Oryzias latipes: one gene and its partner. The protein of the gene in region 2 purifies or fractionates together with the protein of the main gene of each other region. This does not show direct contact. Links are inferred from orthologs where the notes say so. Each region holds a gene or a part of one and is shown on either strand. Other genes may lie near its edges.

What was found.
Region 1: the proteins of bms1 (region 2) and rcl1 purify together in Homo sapiens (co-immunoprecipitation; 4 studies listed by BioGRID and IntAct, with this or other methods). This does not show direct contact. The link is inferred for Oryzias latipes from reciprocal best matches to the Homo sapiens genes BMS1 and RCL1.

What each region holds. Positions count from the first base shown.
Region 1 is NC_019870.2:15,888,583-15,892,843, reverse strand, and holds the start of rcl1 (RNA 3'-terminal phosphate cyclase-like protein), read right to left. Parts: upstream 2,957-4,261; 5' UTR 2,868-2,956; coding exon 2,738-2,867; intron 2,321-2,737; coding exon 2,249-2,320; intron 2,149-2,248; coding exon 1,973-2,148; intron 1,740-1,972; coding exon 1,665-1,739; intron 1,527-1,664; coding exon 1,402-1,526; intron 1,019-1,401; coding exon 893-1,018; intron 814-892; coding exon 657-813; intron 1-656. Other genes in the region: ak3 (GTP:AMP phosphotransferase AK3, mitochondrial), read left to right, coding at 3,777-3,924. UniProt on the Homo sapiens protein: As part of the small subunit (SSU) processome, it plays a role in 40S-ribosomal-subunit biogenesis in the early pre-rRNA processing steps at sites A0, A1 and A2 that are required for proper maturation of the 18S RNA.
Region 2 is NC_019877.2:23,414,607-23,417,899, forward strand, and holds the end of bms1 (ribosome biogenesis protein BMS1 homolog), read left to right. Parts: intron 1-381; coding exon 382-440; intron 441-530; coding exon 531-653; intron 654-869; coding exon 870-1,017; intron 1,018-1,304; coding exon 1,305-1,480; intron 1,481-1,602; coding exon 1,603-1,764; intron 1,765-1,915; coding exon 1,916-2,143; 3' UTR 2,144-2,573; downstream 2,574-3,293. UniProt on the Homo sapiens protein: GTPase required for the synthesis of 40S ribosomal subunits and for processing of pre-ribosomal RNA (pre-rRNA) at sites A0, A1, and A2.

The DNA of each region.
Region 1 (4,261 bases), on a different chromosome or scaffold from region 2:
ATTTTTTAAAGCTACCTGAACTGGTGGTGTTTTAAGATATACTTTGTCAAGTTACATACACTATAGAAGATAATTTAAATAAGTGTAAACCACATGCTAGAAATGAATTTGGAACTGCTTGTGTAAAGCATGACTGCACTTAGTGGGAGTTCAGTTTGGACAGAAAGCCTTTTTGCATTATCCAAATGCAGCAGCACATGCTTGGAATTTTGAATGCAATTTGTTTTGTAGCTCAGCAACATAAGCTTCAACCTGCCTGTAGCGATAAAATGAGTAAGCGTGCAAACTGGTAAATAATGGAGAAAAGTCTATTTGTGTCAAATCCATGTAGATTTTGAATCAAACCTATTATTCTAAGTTAAAGCATTACAAACATGATCGCATGAATAGTTTTGTGCAAACGCCTCTTTAAATCAGTGGAAAAGGACTGGAGAGCGCCCAGGAAAAGAAGGATTGAACAGGAAAAAACGAAGAAAATGCATCTTTATAGCAATTTGGCATTCACATCTGTCAACCTAAATGGCAAAATGGGCATGCATGTTTTTAATGAACGAAAACGGACCTAGACAATATTCATTCTTTACCCTTCAAGGACAACCTTCTAACCACAGCGTTGATATGAAAGTTGATGCTTTCAGAGATTAGTCTGTCCTTACCCGGTATATCTCTTCCAAGAGCAACTTGGCACAGTTTCTGCCAAGGTCTTCTGGCAGTATGGGGTCTCCTTGCCCCTGTGGAGTTGAAGACATCTCCGCACCGAGAAAGCAGCCATTCTGGGTTTCGGCCACAAGTGTCAAACCAAAGCCTGGAGACCTGCAGTTACACTTTGTTAATGTCTTACTTTTTGATTCAGCACTATACCGCGTGCTGGAAAGTTTATGGAGATACCTACTTGCCAGAGTTTGCTCCTTTCATGTGGTCTGTGTAAATATAGATGTCTGGTATGAACTGGTTGAGGACAGCCCTGGTTGACTCTACAATCCTGTTGGCCATCTGAGGAGAAACTCGCACAGAATATCTGAACTTCTGAGTCAAGGACTTAGATTTGTATTAGATTTGACTTTAAAAGTGTTTTTCTGCACCGTTACTTCTTATTCTAATCTATTCAGATACTTCTTTCTGAGATTCTGTGTTTCACTGTGTACAATGGGCCAAGAACTTAAGAATTTACCTGTGTCTACTCTGTTATAATATAAATTCTTGATTCTAAATAACTAAAGAAAACAGACTTAGAATTAAATGAGCAACATCTATTAGAGCAATAGATGTCAGAAATGTAAATTGTGATAATAAAGAGGATAATTTGCATGTATTTTAACTTTTTATAAATCAAAATGACAGCTAATCTAAATAAATTTCTATGCATGAAAAATGTAAAAAGGGACAATTAGACAAAGATACGCCACTCCTCTAATCCTCTTGATCTTGGCTTGCTCTGTCAACTGGACCGGTTTGAGAGTTCTGCGGATGGGGCAAGACAAAACCACCTCTCCTCCACCACCAGGTGCCATCCCTCTTTTCACCACCTGAGGGTGTAACAGCCAAAAAATACATATAAATTAAATACATGTAGTTGTGGGCCAGAGTCATCTGTGTCTGTGCTTAACACAGAATAATCCAGCTTTTTAATTATCTTCATCACTGGTCTACCAGTATGTACTCACCCTGAGATCAAATCCCTCCCCATCAATTCCAAATCTTTTCATCAGAGGGACAGCCGTGGTCTTCAGCAGGTCAATCTGCAAAACAAGACAAATAATAACCACGAAGGTAAACCAACACAACTAACTGTCACAGCCCAACACCGACATCTGTCATGTTCACATACTATCAAGTCAGGTTGCAAACCCCAGACTGGAAAGTCTATATGATCATGGGAAAAGTTCACTTAAACACATTGACTACAGGACCCAGTTTTTTTTTTTGTTTTGTTTACAAAAACTTGGTTTAAAGAGTAGAATATTTATGTCACCGTTGGATCATTGGGGTCGTTAGTAACTCCTCTGAGAGTTGCCTTCAGAGCCATCTTCATGAAAGGAGCCAACATGAGTAAAGCTTCAAGATAGTATCCAATGGAGCGTTGAGGATTGCAGTCGTGCTCTATAGAGCCGCCATACAACAATCCAGGCTGGTAGGATAGCACAGTTCCTAGAAAAGTCAATAATTGTAGACAAATGGAAAAACAATCACAAAAGTCATATTCAGCATATTTCCACACAAAAAACAAAAACAAAACATTAATACTCACCTGTTTGATTAATTTCTATTCTTGAGCCATTGGTCACTTTATCAAGAAGTCTGATGAAGCTTGCTTCAAAGTCTGGAAAAGAAAAACAGCATATTTTAGTTATTAAGAATAAAAAAAATCATCAAAATAGAAAATAAATCAAAAGTTTTCTATTCCAAAAAATAAATTAATGAAAATTTGAGCTTTTACTAAACACTAAAAATAAACTATCCAATTACTTAGTTATATGAACACTCATCTGTATGTTCTTCGTACAAGTTTGCAAAATAAAGCTATGAAAACATCAAAGAATATTATTTATGACAATATTGTAATTAAAAAAATATATATAGGAAGACCAAAAATGAATTCTATTTAATTGACAGTCTTCCTAGTCATTTATCCCACTATAGAATCCCGGTGACAACACTGATTCCCAACTGCGTAACAGCTAGCCCTTAGCCACCAAGCTAACTACGACGCCACATGCAGAGTCAAGCTGCAACTTACCGCGCAGCCCTGGGTCGTCCTCTTTAGATCGTATGTTCTTAATTCTGACACGTTTCCCACTAAGTGTTGACAAAACTAGCCGCTGTCTTAAAAAATTGCACCCCTCGTAAGAGAGTCCCTGGTTTGCCATTTGTATTGTTGTTTCTATGCTTGGCAGCAGGAGAATCCACGTGTGTTTGTGCAGGAAGCAACAATAGGAGGGGCGAGTACGGCATATCAAGTAGGCCAAAAAGGTCCTTTTTTTCTCCTTAAGCGCTTCGCCTCATTGACATATGGCCATTCATTATAACAAGACAGGCGGAGCCTTAGTTTTTCTTAAAGCCACAGTGATACCAAACGGTGACAAAGACGGTTAAAAACACATTTATCTTCCTTTTAACATTTTAAAAGTAAGAAACGACGTATTTGGAGATAAAACCCTTCTTTAAACGATAAGGGCTAAGGGTTTCCCCTTAACAAATTATTCTTTATTTGAACAAATTAAGATTTTTTTTAAATTGACATGGTTTGAGAGAAAGGAAACATTCATTCAGAACTTTTAAGCGGCCAAGCTGAAACCCTATTGCACAGAAGTCGATGCCATGGGATTAATCACCGTCACCTTGCCAACCAGCGAGGGCTTTGCCGCCCGAAAACCAATTATATAACTATATTATACAACAAATTCATCGACAATAAAGCCCAACACTTTCCCAGACGGCATGACTGGGTACTTTGGGGGAAATGTCTTATTTCTGAGGGACGGGACGGCGTCTGGAGGGGATTTGCGCGCACATGCTGTCTGTCACTAGCTGGGTTAGTTAGCTGCCAGCCTCATCTTCTTTCTCCACCTCTTTCTCCTCCTCTTCCTCCACGGCTGGGGGGGAAAACAGAGTGGAGGGAGAGAGCGGCTCCTCAAGACACGTCCCCTCCTTTGTTGCGTAGTCTGTTCGTAATACTTCAGTTCGTGGTTCGGTCCGGTCCAGCCAGGCATCCCGGAACCCGCCCCGCACATGCGCAATTTGCGTTCATTTAAACTCGAAGTTCCATTCGAGGGGAAATGGTCGCGCAGAGGATCCTTCGTGCTGTCATCATGGGACCCCCGGGCTCCGGGAAGGGGACGGTGTCTGCACGCATCGTCAAAAGTTTTGGAGTGAAGCACATCTCCAGCGGGGATATTTTGAGGGCCAACATCAAGCAACAAACAGGTAAAAATATTTAATTTAATCCAGTTTCATCCCAAACCATAGATGAAGTTTGAATTAAATTAAATTGGCAGTAGCAGGGGTTGGTTTCCTGGTCTGTCCTGATAAAGTGTACCACTCCTTTTTTTTCTTTTTGCAGAACTTCTTATCTCTTTAAATTGAGCAAAATTAACATGTTTCTCCCAGGTTGAAGTCAAACTAGTCTGCATGACAGGGTCATGTTTTTACTCCAAACATCTGCAGGGACACAAGCCTGCATTTCGCCATGAAGCTTATCCTCAGAACCACCTTGGATGTGGATTATCAGGTCGTAAAGATAACTAACTGTGAACTTTTGTTC
Region 2 (3,293 bases):
CCACAATGTCGTACATTGAAATGGAAATGAGGCTTTTCACAGCAATCGCCAGGTTTGTTCAAATAGATGAATCTATTACAAGTGTTGATGAATTGATCGTCCTGGCTCTGCCCGGAGGTCTTCTATGTGTGGACGTAAACATTTCTGCTGGGTGTGGAAAGCATCCCGACCTCCAGCCGGCTCTTTAAGGGGAAGTGAAGCGACTGACCTCCATAAAGACAGGAAGCTTCGTTTGGCTCGGCTGGTTGTTTTTAATCTGAAAACTGTGTCAAAACGACACAAACACAGTTTAAATTCTGTATTTTGAAGTCAGGACGTGTTGAAAAGATGTTTTGCTGTCATATTTACGCGTGGTCACCGTTTAACCTTATCGTCCCAAAGGGCCCATCACCCCACAGGGGACCGGCTTCCTGGCTCTGCAGTCCGTGGCAGGAGTCAAAGTAAGTCGAGCTAAAAAGTGTTTCCCGCTCCGCAGGTGAAAGCTAAACTCTCTGACGGGGTCTTCGTCTCCTTTCTTTGTTTGTCTGCAGGCCAACTTTCGCATCGCGGCCACAGGAGTGGTCCTGGATCTTGATAAATCTGTGACCATAGTGAAGAAGCTCAAACTGATTGGTTATCCCTACAAGATCTTCAAGAACACTTCCTTTGTTAAGGTGAGAAAGCAGATGTTTGTCCATCCTCTGATGGAGGAGCAGTTCTGTGTCCGACCTGTGGATCTTTCCTCGAACTCAAAGGAGAAACCAGCTCTGAAAGATGAAAACTGAGGCTTTTTGCTTCATTGAGTCTAAATAAACGGGTCAGATTGGACCCGACTTGATGTGCAGCAGCGGCAGAAGACGCTGATGCTCCTCGTCTCCTCTGGTCTTCAGGGGATGTTCAACACGGTGCTGGAGGTGGCGAAATTTGAAGGAGCTTCGGTGCGGACGGTTTCGGGGGTCAGAGGTCAGATAAAGAAGGCCCTGTCCACACCTCCGGGGGCTTTCAGAGCTACGTTTGAGGACCGCCTGCTCATGAGTGGTGAGTTTCCTGAAAGCTGAGGATGTTGACTGCAGCAGGTGGGCTCAAAGGAGGGATTCTTTTTAGTGTTTGAGGCCTTTTGTGTGGCGTGCGCCATCAGTAAGTTATCAGGTTACCGGCTTCCTTGAGGAGACGGTTTCTCCCAATCAGGATGGAGGATTGGGGTAACCTGGTTGATCAGGGAGGTTTCTCTCTCGGGGTGTGAGAAACCGCTGCACCCCTACGGTCGCCATGTTTTCCCCAGAAAGCATTCGAACGAAGTCCGTCTTTGTGCATTTGTGGTGCAGACATTGTGTTCCTGCGTTCCTGGTATCCGGTGTCGGTTCCTCAGCTCTACAACCCCATCACCTCCCTGCTGCTGCCGGTCGGCCAGAAGGACGGCTGGTCGGGGATGAGGACGCTGGGGCAGCTGAAGCTTGACCTGGGCATCCACAACAAGCCCAACCAAGACTCTCTCTACAAGGTACAGCAAACTGAAGTGGGATGCACTTCTTTGTATAAACCTCAGAGGCTTGAAAGTGATTTTCTTTTCAGGTCATCCACGGCGTTTGTAACCTCTACAATCACTTTTGCCTCCCTTTCTAGCCCGTGGTACGAGCCCCGAGGCATTTCAACCCCCTGCACATCCCCAAGGAGCTGCAGAAAGCCCTGCCCTTCAAGAGCAAACCCAAACAGCAGCAGGCGAAGGGAAAGACGCCCAGAGACCTGCAGAGGCCCAAAGTGATACGAGAACCCCACGAGAGGAAGGTGAGAAAGCTCGAGCTCATGACTGCATCAGCAGCAGGAATGAAGGTTCACCGTCAGTCCCATGAAGGGAGGACGCCCTCCCCACAACGCTTTTCGAGAAAAAGACAATGTTGTCCTGTAAATGTGACGGTGTCCTCTGGCGGCCCAACAGGTGGCGGCTCTGCTTCACGCTCTGCGCACCGTCCACAACCACAAGAGGAAGAAAGCCCACTCAGTGCAGCACGCCCGGCACAAAGAGTTCCTCCAGCAGAAGGAGAAGGACGAGGAGGCGAAGATGAAGAGACAGAAGGAGGCCCGCAAGAGACTTTACAGAGTCATGGGACAGACGGAGCAGAAGAAGCAGAGGTCCAGTCTGAAAGGAGAGCAGAAGGACTCGTGACCCCAGAGTTGACCCGAGCCTGACGGCCTTTCTGTAAATGCTTTCATGGCAAATGTTTGTGATGGTTGCTCCCTCTTTTAATAAAACTCTAGGTAATAAAGCTGGTCTGACTTTTGAAACATGGAGTTTAAAGGGTTACCGGTTCTGGAAAACCTTTTTTCCTTAAAGTCCCACACCTGCAGTTCATTACAATTTCACCTCTGAGTTGTAGGCGGAGCTATTGGTGCAGAGTGACCCTCCCCTTCCCGTCACCCATAACCGAGAGCTCTTTATTTGCACGCTCACTCTCCTACTAGCTTTCCGTCCCTCACACCTCTGACACATGTCTGTCGCAGGGCTCTATGGATACATTTGGAAAAATATCTGAATTACGTTTGAAGAGCTTTTTTGGTCTGTTAATTCAAAGAGTAAAACTTGTCATGTGAACCAATAGTGCTGCATTTTTTTGGAGTTCATGAGACAAAGTTATTAAAATAATATATAGAGGCTTGGAATATTTCAGTTTGTGTAATGATTTCAAAATAAAATAAATACAGGCTTCACTATTTGAATTTACTGACTATAAACTTTGAACTTCTTAAAGATTTTCTGTTTGATCCACCTGCATGAAGAGCGACTTTTATTTTGAAGGCTGAAGCCGTCTATGGAATAAACTTACAAATAAAAGCGAATTCAGGTCGGATTCCAGCTTAAGGAAATCTTAAAATACATATGTTTGACTAATATTATCATTGAAATTACAAAAATGTGTAGATATTTCGGGCATAGCTCAATGAATGTAAAAGGGAAACTTTTTTTTTTTTTTTAAATACAACGGAGGCTCTTGTTTTTTCTGTTTCCGGTCTGGGGCTCAGCTAGCTTCACAGAGTCCCATCATCTCGGGGGTCGATCAGAGGAGTCCAGAGGGGTTCGTCTGTGTCATTCATTTATCTGCTGTGTAGTGTCGGCTCATTCGCGTCGCCCCCCGTAGAATAATGTCGTCTCAGCATCACAGCGGTCTGTTTTCATTTCCGGCTAACGGACCTGTCACCTGCGCGTCGAATCGGAACAAATAGCTTAGCTAATGCTAATGCTGCTAGCTTGATGGATTAGCTTGGCGCACAGCAGAATATCTGTCAAATGTCAGGGAAAAGTTCCTAAAGTTTGAGGC